2 linked regions of the Lonchura striata genome follow. Each later gene encodes a partner of the first gene's protein in a complex. Links are inferred from orthologs where the notes say so. Each region holds a gene or a part of one and is shown on either strand. Other genes may lie near its edges.

Region 1 (7,715 bases):
AGTTTGGTCCAGTTGCTGGGATTTGAGCTTCATTCCCAGCTGTGTAGCCCACTGTACAGTGCCCAGGAGGAATCTGCTGTCTCTGTGTCTGTAAATCAGCCAAGATCTCAACAATTGCTCTTGACTCTACTTGGAGTCTTGCTGTGCTGCATAAAAAAGTGCTCCATCAAGTACAAAGTGCCATTCCTGCTCTTGGAGATGTTCTTGCAGTGCCTCACCCATCCCCAGAAACTCAACAGCCTCAAGACTCCTCCCTGCTCTCGGTGAGCCTGGCCATAGGCAGCTCTGGCAGCTGCACGTTCCAAACCACATCCCTGCCTCTCATTTTTCCACCATCAGGCTGTGAACAAACCCTGTGTTGTCATCCAGCTGCTTGACTTCTCCAGCAGCCCCTCTGGAATGACTGCCATGGTCCCATGTGGGACACAGGGGCTTTCTTTTGGAGGAGACCAATGTCAGTGCTGAGAACTTGCACCTCACAGAAGTAAAACATGAGTACGAAGCTCTTCTTGTGAAGGTGAGCACCCCAGGCAGGTCTTTCAGCAGGAGGATGCAGCAACTTGGGAACTAACTTGGAGTTGGGGGACAACTCTGTTTCATACCTGATTATTTCTCTCCTCTGTGGGATCACATATGGATTTGATTTCATGGTCCTGTTTTTCCTGCTGCCAGCAATTGTATTGTTATACTTTTAGTGTGGAACAAGAGCGGGATAAGGAGCTTGTTTGGAATTTAAAAGCATGTTTTTAATACCAGGAAAGAAATGCCAGAGAGAACATTGAAATATTGACACTCCGTTCCTGTTAGTGCCTTGATTTTCCTCCTTGTGTAGTCCTTGCCCGTAAACTTAGGAATTTTACCACTTATTTTTTCCAAAAGGGTGATGAAGATCAACAGCAATCACAAATGTTGTGTATCTCCAAACTGTGAACTTGAAATAGAATCTGAAGGACTGGTTTTTCTCTGGGTTGGTTTATAAGTGGGGAGCTGGAGCGTGCCTCTCTGGGGGATGGGTGGGGTGGGATCTGTGGGATGGGAATCAGGGGGATGGGATCCCTGGGGCAGGATCAGGGGGATGGGATCAGTGGGGCAGGATTTGAGGGGTGGGATCAGTGGGATGGGATCAGTGGGGCAGGATTTGAGGGGTGGGATCTGTGGGATGGGATCTCTGGAGGATGGGATCTCTGGGGATGGAATCAGTGGGATGGGATCTCTGGGGGTGGGATCAGTGGGATGGGATCTCTGGGGGTGGGATCAATGGGATGGGATCTCTGGGGGTGGAATCAGTGGGATGGGCGCAGTTGCATGTCAGGCTGGTGGCTGGGGACGAGCACTGGGGACAAGCGGTACTGCACGCTGGAAAACGCTGGAATCCGGTTGTTTTCGCGTGTCCAACTCTTACCAGTCGATCGGGTGAGAGTCGCTCTCCCCGCAGAGCTGTCAAAGGGATGCGTGTTTCCAGGGAGCAGTTTCCTGGCTTTACAGCAGTAGAGGAGGCCCTGTAAGAGTCACCGTGGGAACTGCCCCATTCCCAGCTGGTGCAAACCTCCCTCCAGGAGGGAAGGAACAGGTCCTTTCCATGCTGGGACAACATAATTACCACAGCCTTCCAGGTGAGCTCTGAGCACAAAACCACAGTTTGGAGTTTCTTTCTTTCTGCTCCCAGATCTTTTGGGAGCTTCTCGGTGACCGTGGCAGATCACTTGGTCTCTCTGATTTTTACAGCTTCCACCATGTCCCCAGGAGTGTTCTGAGCCCAGCTGCTCCTACTGGTCATGTGCAATGTGATGGATTTGTTTTCAATGCCCTTCAGATTGATGTTTGAGGAGATTTTTTTTTTCTGTTCCCTGCTTTTCTGAGGGCATCTGTTCCACAGCAAAATGCTCTTGGACAGTGGAGTCCAACAAGTCCCAGTTCACCAGGGCTGGGGGTGAATTCAGAACTCATCACCCAGGGAAGTGAAGTTGCTGAGAGGGAGGAAACAGGTTGGGATGAAACATGTAAGGCTGAGAAGAGCATTTAAATTTGGAAGAGAAGGAGGTAAAAGTCATAAGCTTGCTGGGCTTTGGCATCTGCCTATCTAAGCTCAGAGTAATGTTACTCATCACACATTGCAGTACCCGCTCATTTCCTTGGTGGGGAGACAGAGAATTGAAGTTCCCAAAGCAGGAAAAAAAGAAAAGAAAAGAAAAGAAAAGAAAAGAAAAGAAAAGAAAAGAAAAGAAAAGAAAAGAAAAGAAAAGAAAAGAAAAGAAAAGAAAAGAAAAGAAAAGAAAAGAAAAGAAAAGAAAAGAAAAGAAAAGAAAAGAAAAGAAAAGAAAAGAAAAGAAAAGAAAAAGAAATCAATAATCTCCAGTTCAGCCTGGGGTGGCTGCCCTTGGGGTGGCTGCCCCTGGGAACGTGCTGTCCCTGGAGGTTTGCTATTTTGTGCCTCTGGCTCGTTCCTAGTAAAACTGCCACTGCATTCCATGCCAGAATGTGTCTGTGCACAGGGTGTGCAGAGAGTCCAGAAAGCCCCTTGGGTTGCCCCCATGTCCTCAGAGGGTCACTGCAGAGTGACAGTCTGGGGACAGTGCTGGGAGCAGAGCCAGCTGCTCCCAGTCCTTGGAGTAGTGCTCCTGCCATGGAAAAGGTTCTTTGGAAGTCCAAATCCATCCCCTCTGCTCTTCAGCTCCCACCATGGTGCAAGGGAAAAGGAGTCAGGGATACACGAGGAAAGCAGAACTGACTTGGACCTCCACTGCTGCCCCATGCAGGGGTGAGGGGGGACCCACAAAGTGGGGAGGCCTGCCAGGGGACATGGGCGCTGGAAGGAAAACAGGTCTGTGTTTCTTTGCTTGCCCGTCATTAACTTTTGGCCAAGCACACCCATGCAGACATCCTGACTGGGGGCCAGGTTCCCTGTGCCAGGGCCAGGACACTGCCAAAGACCACCTCCATGGCTGTCCCATGGTGTCCCCTGTTGTTTTCTGGCACTCTGAGGGTTCTGTGGGCAAAAGTTCAGCCTCAAGCTGTGCTGGGAACAGAGGAGAGCTGGAGAGGTGGGAGAAATCGGTACAAAGTGCTGACCAACCAGGTCTCTGTAGGCTGCAGGACTCTGCTGCTTGCCCCTGGGGGGTTTGGGCTGGGTGTGATGAGCTCCCAGCTTCTTCCCTGAGGGGACAGAATAGGACAGGCTGTGCCATAATGCCAGTCTGGGCACCTGATGGGTTGACCCCAGCCACAGACCTGCTCTGTGCTGCCATCCCCTCAGTGCCACTGGGATCTTTAACCATGTCCATTCACCCCACGGGGTATGGTCACAGAACAGCCACACCAGGGAGCTTCCATGGGGTCAATCCCAAAACTGATGTGGGTGGCACCAGTACTGAGGTGACCTCCCACCCCTTGACCCTCTGCTGAAATGCTGTCAGGAAACAGGGCGTCCCTGCAGCCCTGGGCTGGTGTTCTTCAGGTCTGTGCCCCCTCCTCACACCTCTTCAGCTGCCTGCCAGGCCCAGCTCGAACTTTGGACCTTCCCCAAGGGTTTTATTGACTCTGGAGCGAGCGTCAACACAGCGATGGCGTCAGGATGGTGACTTTGGATGTGCCAGTGCCCAGCAGCCAAAGGGAGAGGACCCAGCCTGGGGTGACCCCACACAGCCATGGGGCTGCTCAGTGGGGTCAGGGCAAGCTGTGCTTCTGGCTTTGGCCAAGCTGGAAACACCAGAGTTGTAACCCAGCTTCCTCCTCCAAAAAAAAAACAACAGGAAAGCGAGCAGCAGTCCCTGTGGGACATGGGGTCTGGAGGTCTGGGTTGTGAAATGTCCCACTGGGACTGCTGGGGATGCTTCCAGAGCTGCTTGAGCAACTTCCTAGTGTGGCAGCGAGAGAAAGACCACCCCAAAACATCCAAATCATCTGGGCTGTGGTTAAATCAGGAGCATGTGCTTCCCTGGGTGAAGCAGCTCCCTGGCTCCCACAGAGGATGGCAGTGACTGGGTACCAGCCTGCACCTCGGGGTCCCCTTGACCACCCACGGGGCCCTGGTCTGGGCAGTGACCTTGTGGGGCACTGGGAGTCCCACAGCAGCACCCAGGAGTGGCCACAGACAGACAGGGTCCTGGGTCTGCAGGTGCTGGCTCAGCCCAGAGTGGTGTCCAAGAGTGACCTCAGCACCCTGACCCCAGTTCGTGACTCCACAGTAACCCAAGCCCTGCTCCCACTGTCACCCCAACTCTGACCCTGCCAGGACCCCAACGCCCACCCCCGAACCACAACGCTGATCCAACCCTGCCTCCCCTCCTGAGCCTGGCCCCCAGGCTGAGCCCCTGCTTGCACCCACCGTGACCTCTGGACCCTGTTCTTCTGCACCCTGACCCCACCCGTGACCCCCCCACGCCCCAATTCTGGCCGACCCCTGACTCCACCCGTGACCTCCCCACGCCCCAATTCTGACCGACCCCCACTTTCCCCCGGTCCCTCCCGGCGCTCCTGTCCCTTTAAGACCCCCGTCCTGGGGCTGTACCATGCGCCGCCGCAGAGGGGTGATCTCCACAGGCAGGCGCGCTCGCCGCCTATTGGCGGGCGGCGGGGGCGGAGCGTGCTCCCCCGCGCGCGTGCGCGGGTGGTGCGGCCCGCTGTACGTGCCGGCCGCGCCGGGGCCGCGGGAGCCGCCAGCGGCAGACGGGCCGGAGCGGCGGAGCGTGCGGGACGCGGGGAACGGGCGCTTGGGGGTGAGGAGGGTGCGGGACCGGGGGTCCTCTGGGGCTGAGGCGGGGGGCTGAGCTCGCCGCCGGAGCCCTTTGTGCTGGGGAGGGGCGGTCCGGCACCCCTGGTGGGGTCGGTGTGGGATGGCGGCTCTCGCTGTGTGGGGGGACTGGCTGCGTGTTACGGGACTGACACAGGGTCCCGTGTGGCGGGTGAGTGGCACCGCTGTCGCTGGCGGGGAGGGCGATGTGAATGGAGCTCTCTTTGAGGGGGGACTGGGATGCCCAGAGCCCCCCGTTCACTGCGGGGTCTGGTGTGAGTGGGCATCCTGTTACTGGGTTATTGAGGTGCTTATAGAACCTTTTTACTGGAGGGGTATGGGAGGGCTGGGACGGCCACGTTATCTGGGCAGGGTGCTGTGGCTGTCCCCTGGTATTTGGGGGGGACCTGGATGGCCAGAGCTCTCTTATGTGGGGAGTCTGATGTGACTGATCCCCTGATAGGAATTGGGATGACCAGAGCCTGTCTTGTTTGGGAGCACCTGGTGGTGCTGAGCCCCTGTTCCTGGGGAGCCTGGTGTGAGCGATGTGCCCCGTAGGGCAGGCATGGCCCCGCTGTTATTTGGGGTGCCCCACCACGCCTGTCACCCCGGGGCTGGGGTGATGCCCACCCTGCCTTGCTTCCACAGCACTGAAGGGCTGCTCAGACTTACCCCATCCCGGGCTGGTGCTGGTTAAAAGCCTTTAACGAGCTTAATTTTCTGGCACATCCCTGGAGAACGTTATTCCCAGCGTTTAATTGATACCTTTGCTGCAGGCTGGGGTGTTCCGCTGTTTTTCCATCTATTTCACTTTATAAACTGCTGGGGTGTGGGAAGGCTGTTTGCTCCTGATTTTTCCTGATGGAGTTTGTTGGAAGAATGAAAGTATTCACCTATAGAGTGTGTGCTTGTCAAAGGAAATAATGGGAACCCAGTGGTTTTGGGAATATTGAGGGTGGAGAGGGTGAAGGTACCTGGATGATGGTGTTGGGAGTTAGTCATCAGAGTGGAATTGGTTCTTGGGGAGTTGCCTTAGTTGCAGGAGTAAGCACTGCTGGTGCAGCTTGGAGTGTGCTTTGTTCTTCAGGGTTAGCTTTTGGAGTGTGAATGGAAATAGGAATGCTTAGTGGAATGTGTACAGAGAAGGGATCACTGAGGCTCTCTGTGAGTCTGGAAAAGTGAAATGGGTTTGTGTTTTTACAGCTCTTTTTAAAAAGTAGGAACATATATCCGGCTGAGAAGCTGGAAAAGTGCAAGGAAGAAGGAATCAGGTCTCTGTTTCTGAGTTGTGGAAGTGAATCACAGATAGCGTTGGTGGGGACATCCCCTTCACAACAGATCTCTACACTTTGTGTGGGCTTGTGAGGAGCTGTGGGGTTTCGTAATTTTTTTTGCTTAGTGGGGTGCAGTGGTGTACACATCCCTTTTTTTAGATGGAAGGGAATGGGCTTTCTTCCAATATTTCTGTAATTCTCTGAGAAATCCCGAGGAGCTGTTGCACATAAGCAAAGCAGCTCGCTGATTAATCTGCTGCAAATGAGGAAATCGGTGCTTTGTCTGGGAGGGCTGCTGAGCCAGACCCTTCCTGGAAAACCCAGCATTGTCTCAGTACAGGTTTTTCTTGGGCTGGTTGACAGCACTGAGGCAGGGTGTGCATGGCATGGAGTGTGTCTTAGTTTTGCACGTGGATGTGATGGTGCACGACAACGGTATTTGCAGAACAGGGAGCAGGGAGGATACAGAGCTACCGGAACTAACACCAGTTGAACACCTTCTTTTAATCTTTGAATGTGAAAGAAAGGAGGGTGTAGTGTCACAGATCCAGCTTAACACCCTGTTAATTAGTCCTGCTCTAATTGTGACAGAGAAGAACCTCTTGCTTGTCATCACTTCACAGTTGCTTCCTGTTCAGTCAGTAATTTCTGGGTTTGTGTCTCCTGGAAAGCCACGTGCCTTCTGCAACTTGCCTTTTGTTTCTTGCAGAGCAGCTGGAGGAGGTCAACAGGGCCTTACAACCAAAACTCTTTGAAATATCTCAAGGGAGACTTTGCTGCTCACCGCCCTCCGTGCTGGAACTCACAGGCCCCACCAACTCCTGTTTGCTGACCCATAGGTGCAAGGTAACCCCTTTCTTTTGAGTGTCACAGGCTGTGGAGCATCTCTGGGTGCAGCTGGGTTTGGGGAGGGTGGCTGGCAATGGGTGGGAGTGATGGTTTCTTTACCTGCAGCAAAAGCAAAGTGTGGAACTATCTGACTGAAATCCCATTTGGTCTTTGCTCTCTCCTTTGCCTGTTGGGATACAGCAAACTTTGTGTTTGCTCAGTTCTGAAGGACTGAGGAAAAGGCTTCCCTGCTCAGGTTTGTGCTCCTGCCATCTGCTCCCGTGGTATAAAAGAAAACCACTTGCAGGTACCTCTGTGGGCATTGAACTTTGTTCTGTTTCCTGATGTCAACTCTCCTGCCTCAAAAAACACAATTCTAAGAACTTGCATAATTTGCTTTCCCAACGTGATCATTTGATCCCAGTGATGAGATTACTTTGTACACGCCGTTGTAGAGAGTGAATCACCAGCCCTGCAGTGACAGGTGCATCTCTGCCAAGAGTGCTTTTTTATAGGCTTGAAAATTTCATAGGTCAGAACAATTCATAATTGCAGGCTGCTTGTAATCTCTTGCTGTTTGTCCCTGAGTAAACATTTCAGGTTAATTGTGGGCTGCTATCACCCATGGAATCCAGACAGAGAGACCAGAAGCCATGTCTGGTGGCTTCTGGAGAGCCACAAGTCCAAAGAGTGGCTGAGTTTGACTCATGGTGGCAGATTATTGTAGTATTTTTGCTTAGTAATCAGCCATGTCCATGCCTCCAGTCACTCCTTTGCAAGGAATGGAGGTATTGATTTACTTACCTTCCTTTCTTGCTGTGTGGAGTAGGAGATAGCAAGGTTTGGAGTTAGAGATGGGGTTGGATTTTTCTCCTTGGTAAAAT
Region 2 (7,510 bases), on another chromosome or scaffold:
CCTGAGAAAAGGGTGTGAGCAGTGTGGTACAAGGTCCTCTGTGTTGCAGATGTGTGATTTTTCAAATCCAAAGTTTCACGGTTTGTTCTGTCCTGCGGTCAGGGCACACTTTGTTTTCCACAGTTGTGGCACTGAAACAAAGGAGGCAGCAGCACTGACTGAAACATTTGCACAAATGGGATTTTATTTGCGAACTCTGTCCCATTCCCTTCCACACCTCCCTTTGGTTGCCAAAGCAGCTCCTAGCTGGACACAGGATTGATTCCCATGACCACCAAGACTCTACGAAGCATGGTGGGCCCTATGTACTCTCTCCCAAAATTTCAGCCCAGTGTACCTATAACCTGCTGTGTGCTTAAGGTAACTGCCTGACTCTGGTCAGGCACATGCCTTGCAGGGCACTTGCTCTCCCTTCTTCTCCCCATTCTGTTTCCAGACAGCCCAGGCTCTCTCCTTGCTCATAGCTATGTGCTGGAGACACCAGTGTGCTGCAGCACACACATACCCATACATCTGTGAATATAATTATTGTAATCTGCATTTCCTGTTTTTGTCACGCTGGTTCATTTATCCTGGGAAATTTGCCTGTGCCTCCATCTCCTACCACACTGTTTTCCAGGGTTCCCGTGTGGGGGGTTACCTAACACAGCCATGTCTGTCTATACAACCCTCCAGTAGTACGAGCAGTGCCAGCCCCAGGGACAGCTGCAGCGCCTGAGCTCTCCATAGGGATTTCCAGTGCATTGGACGCTCAACCTCCTTTTTCTCCATCTTCATCTTTGATCTAGATTGGAATTTTTAGATGCTGAGAGACCAGTGAGCACAGTCAGTTCAGCGAAGGCGGGGCTGGGAGAGGCAGTATCCTTTGGTAAACACAAATTAACACACAGGATATCCCTGTACACTCCAGTACAAACTCCTTTCTCCAGCAAGTAATTTTAAGCAATCTGTAACCCTTTTCCCCATACCATTACACAGCAAATCCTCATCACCGAGTGATGATGCAGCAGCCTGGCTTGCACTCAGCTTTCCGAGTGCAAACCAGGCAGCTGCATTTTGCTGTGTCACGGTTTGAGAGAGCCCATTAGTCCCTCTGAGCTGGCTAAGGCCGGTTTTCCCCATGAAAATGGAGCTGAGCTGCTGGGAGCTACCAGCACGGAACAGCGCTACCCACAAGGGACTCAAGAGAGCTGACTTTGCATCCCGTGACTGCCAGTGTAACTAGACATTTCTGGCCATAAATCTGCTGGCAAAATAGGCTGTTAATGTACAAAGAGGAGAAAATTCCCCACTTCCCTGTTCCACATGGAAACACTGACCCCTCAATAACTTTCTGTTGTTTTTAACCATTCATCTCCCATCTCATGACTAAGCATTTTCTCAGGGGCTGGGATGTGCAGACAGGCTTTTAAGTCCAGCAAGAACTTTTACAAATATCTTGCCTGAGGCTACTTTCTTCATCTTTGCTAGAAATCCCCTGGGCAGTTTTGCTGGTGTCCTCACAGTGAGTAGCTCTGGCACTACCCAGACGCAGCTCACTGGAAAGGCAGGAGACAGCAGGGCTTCTGGCAAGCACAGTGGAGACCACAGCTCTGAGACTTGATAGTCAAGCAGAATTTCCTACTGACTGGATTTGGGCTGGGCTCTGATTTCCCATGGCCCACTCTGCTCTGGGAGCCTGTTTGCTCCTTCCACCAAAAGCACTCACCTCCCTCCCCATTCATTGCTCCCAAGTGGCAACTTCCAAAGTTCTCTTTGAGGAGGAGATGGTCCCTCACAAATCCCTGCTGGCATGTTTGCTTGCTCGGTGGCACTGACCTCCCTCCCATCAGCAACAGCACTGCAGAAGCAATTCAAGCCCTTGCTGCAGAACACTGAAGGGGTCAGAAATGCTCCAGGCTAGCAACTGCAAAGATGATGAAACCCCACTTTCAGTTCTCCTTCCATCTTGCTGCAGGGCCTTTGGGCCTTTCCAGAGAGCTAGGCTGTGTCTCACAGCTGCTCCATCCCAAGAAACCCAAATCAGAGAGAGATCAGACAGTATAAATCACTTATGGGGCATGGCTTGCTTGTCTGCACCTTTGCAAGTCTCCTGGCAGAGGTGAGTTGCATCTCTTGTGACCTGCCCAGGGGAAGGTAAAGCCCAAAGAGCCAGAAGAGGTTCTGCTTCATGTTCTGGGACAGTATGGTTACAAGCCAGAAAACCTACCTGGAATGGTAGCAACAAGACTAGAGACCCTCTCTTTCTTCCCCCACAGTCTCACTCACAATCCTGGGTTAAAAGGGAAAAGGACTTTTGGATATATCTTTTATAGGGCTTCCAAGCATGCAGCTTCCTGGAAGAAGACAGGTGGGCATGCTGGAGACAAAATCATGGGCTTGAAAGCACCCATAAAGTCCTTGGGAAGAACTGGGTACATTGCCAGGGCTGCAGGTGAAAGGAGGGGCTAGGCTTGAGGATTGGATTTTTTTCATGTTATTTCACAAAATGAGTAATATACTCTCATAATATAATTCTTATTCTCATATAATTCCCATCTATTTCCTACTTCCCTCCACCAGAACTAGAGGTTCAATTTGTGCTCCAGCTTCCCCTGTCAGAATAGGACTCACTGAAAATGACAGAAAATGAAAACTTTGAGTTATGCCAGAGGGAAACATTCATTTTGAGGCCATTCCTGTGGCAAACTGTAGTTTCAATGTTTTCAGGAGGGACTCGCCATGGAGCTGTCTGCTTTCTGCCCTCTCAGGAGATGTTTGGGGTTTTGTCACACTTGCTTCGAAGATCCAGACATCCTGATAAATTTATTTTACCTTCCAGAAAAGCAAGTAAGTTGTCTGCAGTGGCATGGGGGTAAGAATGGAACATGTCAGCTTTTGCCAGCGTGCACTGTTGCTTTAAAAGACAAAAGCAAGACAGGAAAAGTCTGGCCGAGTCAGGGTGGAAATGCTGAGTAATCCTTCCTGAACGCTGCATGCCAGATGTCTGCTGGAGTCAAAAAAAGAAGCATAGAAGAATACATTTTCTAGAACAGCTTTTTAACCTACAGCCCCCAACCCTGCTGGGACTGGTGTGGGTGCAGGGACAGGGAGACAGGCAAGGTGCTGGCTTGGATAGCAGCATCCACAGAGAAGGCTGGCTGCAGAGGGACAGCAGATGCCACAGTCCTTCTCCTTCCACCCAGGCTCTGCCTCCCCACCACCCCCTGCCCCACTGTACCAGGGAGTTTCTCACACCCACTGAAGCAGGGGAGTGGTGGCTCTAAGTGCCCTGCTCTTTTGGGCTGAGCACAAATGTGTGTTTTCCAAAGTACAGCCAGCTAGTGCATCACCTGTCCCTGCTAGCCCAGCTTCCAGCATAACTACAGGTGGGAAAGAAGGGCCCAGCTTCATCTGTTGGCTGCTTCACTGACCACTTCATAAAAAAAAAAAAAAAAAAAAAAAAAAAAAAAAAGTTAAAAAAACCCCCACAAACAAAAACAAACAGAAAATCCAGCAGAGCAACAGCTATTTGCAGAAGCACCATGTCCAACTCTTTTAGCTCTTTTCCCAAATCAGAGTAATTATTTGCCTTTGAAAGTCTTTGCAAACTTTCTCAGTTTCCCCCAAGTCCTGTATGATATCTTTTCAGCTACCCCAGCCTTCTGGGTATCTAGGAGATGGTGTACAATTTTCCTAAATTGCCCTGCACACTGCTGTGGTGACAAGAGGAGCCAGCTATCAAACAAATCAGATGCCATTGTTTCCATGAGCAGGAGGGCATGGAGTGGGTTTGGCTGTGCATCGGTGCTGGCACACCTGTGTTGGCTCTGTGCAAAGTGGCAGGATTTACCACCAAGGGCAAGGGGGAGCTGCACAAGGACAGGTCTGGCACCTGCAGGCCAGAGCCGGTGCATGCCTGAGCACAGGCACAGGAGGTGGGATGGTTACACCTGAGCTGTGCTGGAGCAGGGGAGTGCTGGATTGGCTCTCCAGGCACACACACTGGGGTGCAGGGTGAGGAGGCTGCCCTCTGTGCCCCAGGAATTACCTCTGTAAATCCACCCTCCTTGTCCGACCCCGCTGTCCCCAGGACAACGAGCACCTCTGGCAGGACCCGGGCTCTGCCTGCCACGGGCAAGGCACTGAAAGGGTTACAGAGCCAGGCACCCTCAAAAGAGAAGTTTCTGGACATCCTCTCGGTTTTGCTTAGTTATCAAGATGCATCTGGTGACTTCCTTCTGGTTCTTCGGGGCGGTGGGCCAGGAGAGGGTGACAGCCAGCTGGGAAGGGAAGTGCTGCTGTGTTGCAAGAAGCCTGCAGTCACCGAGGTCAGCGGTTCGCTGCTCACGTGGCCGGGCAGTATAAAGCTGGATGTGGGAGTCAGGCTGCCCAGCTCGGAGCTTCGCTGTCCCGGGAGCTGAGGGAAGCAGCAACGCGCGAGCAACAGCAGCGAGGCAGAGGAGACAAACATGGAAACTTCGCAGCCACACAGCTCCGAAAGGTGAGAGCGGGACGGGAATGGGAGGGAAGCGTTTTGGCAGAGGAGTGTTGTGTTTCTCCCCTTGCTTTTAAGGAATGCTGTTCCTGTTCCTGCTCTGCAGCATGCTGCTGCCTCCACCTCTGGATGGAGTGTGTCAGTCTTCCTTGCTCGGGACACTGTTTGGAAAGCTGGTTCGCTCTGGGTCCCATCCGCACCTCTCGAGAATGCTCTGCTCCTTTTTCTGCCATCCCAGGCTCCTCCTTTTGTCCTAGAGAGCTAAGATTTGTTTTGTCAGAGGAGACAGCTCTTAATACCTGTTTCACTGTTCCTCCCCAGGATGTCCGCAGACCTGTCAGAGCTGTTGAAGGAAGCTACCAAGGAGGTGCACGAGCAGGCAGAGAACACACCGTTCATGAGGAATTTCCAAAAGGGGCAGGTGTCACTCCAGGAGTTTAAGGTACTTCATAGCAGCGTTGCTTGGGGATGGGATTTCCTCACCAGTTAAATCAGATGGGCTGAGAGGGGACTAAAGTGGGGAGGATGGGACAGTACAGGAGGATAGGGGCATGATGTATCAGTATCTCCTATGAAAAACATCAAACTTCTACACCCTGAGGTCCTACTGGCTCCTCTTGCAGAAGGTGGGGAAGGGCTGTGCATATCACAATGGGCAGCCAAGCTGAAACAGGAGAAATAAGGACAAAGAGGTTGCTGGGACTAATGCTATTGCTTTTTTCTTCATAAATGCCTGAATGTTATTATTGCCAGTCACAGTTAATGGAGCTAGAACTATGTTCAGATACTTGCCCAAAAGAGGGAGAATTCTGTATCTACAACATTCTAGGCAGCTGCAGCTAGAAATAATAATGGGATGGTGACAGAGCGAGGATGTGGGATCATTGCTGGCACTGAACTTTGCATTGTCACTTGAGTTATACCACAGCTGAGATCATAAACAATAACTCAAAACCAGACTGAGTTTGAGTAATCTGTGTCTGCCGCTAACAAGCAGGAGCCTGTTGCCTTTTTCAAGATAAAAAGAAACATTTCCACACATTAGCCTAACCTGGCTAGATACAGTTCCTGGGATCTGAGCCATATAACAAAGCCAAGAGCAAAACCAAAGCAAACACCTGGGCCAGAATTCCTGAGAGGCTATAGGAAGTGACACATGGACTTGCAAATAACAGCTACTGATTCAACCTGTGGCTTAATTAATTTGTTGTTGAATTGTTCCTTGGCAAATAAATCCACAGAAGCAGGAAAGAGACTGCTTGTTTCTGACAGGTGACATTCAGAATACTTAGCCAAGCATAAATTCAATCTCAGGTGCTGACTTCCTGCTGTTAGAAATATGGCATTGGTTAGGCAGTGATCTTTGAGACAGGTTAGTGTGTAAAAAGACTTTCAGGAATAAAACTTGGTTTCTTAGATAATTTTTACATGCTGTCAGGTGAATGAGATGGAACATGGATTTTAAAAATTAACAAGTGTTTAAAAGCCATGTTTCTCATTAAACAACTACCTGCCTCTGAAAACAATTAGTTGAGTTACAATTTTGCTTAATTTGGAAGGCAATGTTCCCATGTTTTGTTTCTTTTCCGGTAGGTTGGGTAACAGGTTACTGTTTAAAAAACTGTTTTTGTTTACTCTCTTGGCAGACTTATATATCTGGCCTGCTACGTGACTCCCTAGATGGTGGATATTTGTTTCCACAACCAGTCACTGCCCATGTGCTTATCAAAGTCCTATTTTCTGGCACAGTGGGACAAGGTTGAAACAGGAACTCTCTCACTGCAGAACTGACTGCTTTGTGAGAAAGTAAACAGCTTTCTCTCCTGTGAGCAGCATAATCCCCCCTACCCAAACCTGACTCACCTCTACTACAACACCTTCATCTTTTACCATTTGCTGCTCACAAGGGTCCCAGGGTAAGGAAGGGGTGGTGTAGGTGTAACAGCCTCTGAAAACAGAATGCCTGGGGAAGGAAAGAACACAGCTATATTGTCTCAGATCATGTGGAAAAGCTGGCAGATAGAAGAAAGTATCACATAAGCTGGGAAAAACAACAATAACAATGGTTTCAAAATAGAGGGGAGAACACAGCCTCACAGCACTGCTTCACAAAGGCATCTTTCAGAGGCAGGCTGTGCTTCCAGATCCCTTTTATCTTGTTCCCTTGGGGCAACCGAGGAGGCAACCCCACTTGCATGCCTGAGTGAGCAGAGTAGTGGTGCCTCAGTTCCCAGGATGGTGGGATGCTGACAGGATGAATATGTTGAAAAATAACCAGGGTGTGTCATCATTTCACAAGGCCCCACAAAAGGAAGCCACATTTTGGAGCATTCAAATTTGAACAATGTACCAGAAAGGATACCTTTGGGAATACCCTCTCTATTGACTGAGGGAATGAGAAGAGACCAGGAATGCTTAAACAGAGCTCCACTTTACATCACATCAAGCTGCCAGACTTTAACTTGAAGGCAAGGCAGTGACTTCAAGAGAAAGTAAGACCAATATCTGCTGGAAAGGGCTCACCTGATTGCTGTCTCAAGCCGAAGGGAAGGGCTAAACAGTGTCTCCCTGTACCTTGCACTGTTTTCCACGCGGGAAATCTGCACCATCACAGGTGTTCGTGACTCATTGTGGGCGTGCCCACGAGTACCTTTATTCTTAGTACAATTTGTCCCACAGACTTGAAAACAATAAACAGATGCACCTATAGTTCATGCATTTTCTTCTCTTTCAGCTGGTTACAGCGTCCCTGTACTTTATCTACTCTGCTCTGGAGGAAGAGATCGAACGGAACAAGAACAATCCAGTTTATGCCCCTGTCTATTTTCCGGCGGAGCTGCACCGCAAAGCTGCCCTGGAGGAAGACTTGAAGTACTTCTATGGCAGGAACTGGAGGGAAGAGATCCCATGTCCTGAGGCGACTCAGAAATATGTTGAGAGGCTCCACTACATAGGCAAGAACGAGCCAGAGCTCCTGGTGGCCCATGCCTACACTCGCTATTTGGGAGACCTGTCTGGAGGGCAGGTGCTGAA

What was found.
Region 2: the proteins of POR (region 1) and HMOX1 are in contact, whole or in part, in a crystal structure (PDB 3WKT), measured with the Rattus norvegicus proteins. The link is inferred for Lonchura striata from reciprocal best matches to the Homo sapiens genes POR and HMOX1. Residues at the interface, in NP_113764.1 of Rattus norvegicus: Thr88, Thr177, Asp208, Asp209, Arg313, Arg514, Lys515, Gln517, Arg519, Leu520, Phe522, Lys523, His626, Lys665, Met667, Thr668, Lys669, Gly670, Tyr672; in NP_036712.1 of Rattus norvegicus: Asp12, Ser14, Glu15, Gln38, Ala75, Pro76, Glu81, Lys149, Ile150, Lys153, Ser171, Asp173, Asn174, Thr176, Lys177, Phe178, Lys179, Gln180, Leu181, Arg183, Ala184, Arg185, Asn187, Thr188.

Annotation. Positions count from the first base shown.
Region 1 is NC_134622.1:5,833,673-5,841,387, reverse strand, and holds the start of POR (NADPH--cytochrome P450 reductase), read left to right. Parts: upstream 1-4,611; 5' UTR 4,612-4,715; exon of another isoform or gene 4,716-4,724; intron 4,725-6,712; 5' UTR 6,713-6,849; intron 6,850-7,715. UniProt on the Homo sapiens protein: This enzyme is required for electron transfer from NADP to cytochrome P450 in microsomes. It can also provide electron transfer to heme oxygenase and cytochrome B5.
Region 2 is NC_134607.1:22,464,493-22,472,002, forward strand, and holds the start of HMOX1 (heme oxygenase 1), read left to right. Parts: upstream 1-4,363; 5' UTR 4,364-4,451; coding exon 4,452-4,483; intron 4,484-4,798; coding exon 4,799-4,919; intron 4,920-7,211; coding exon 7,212-7,510.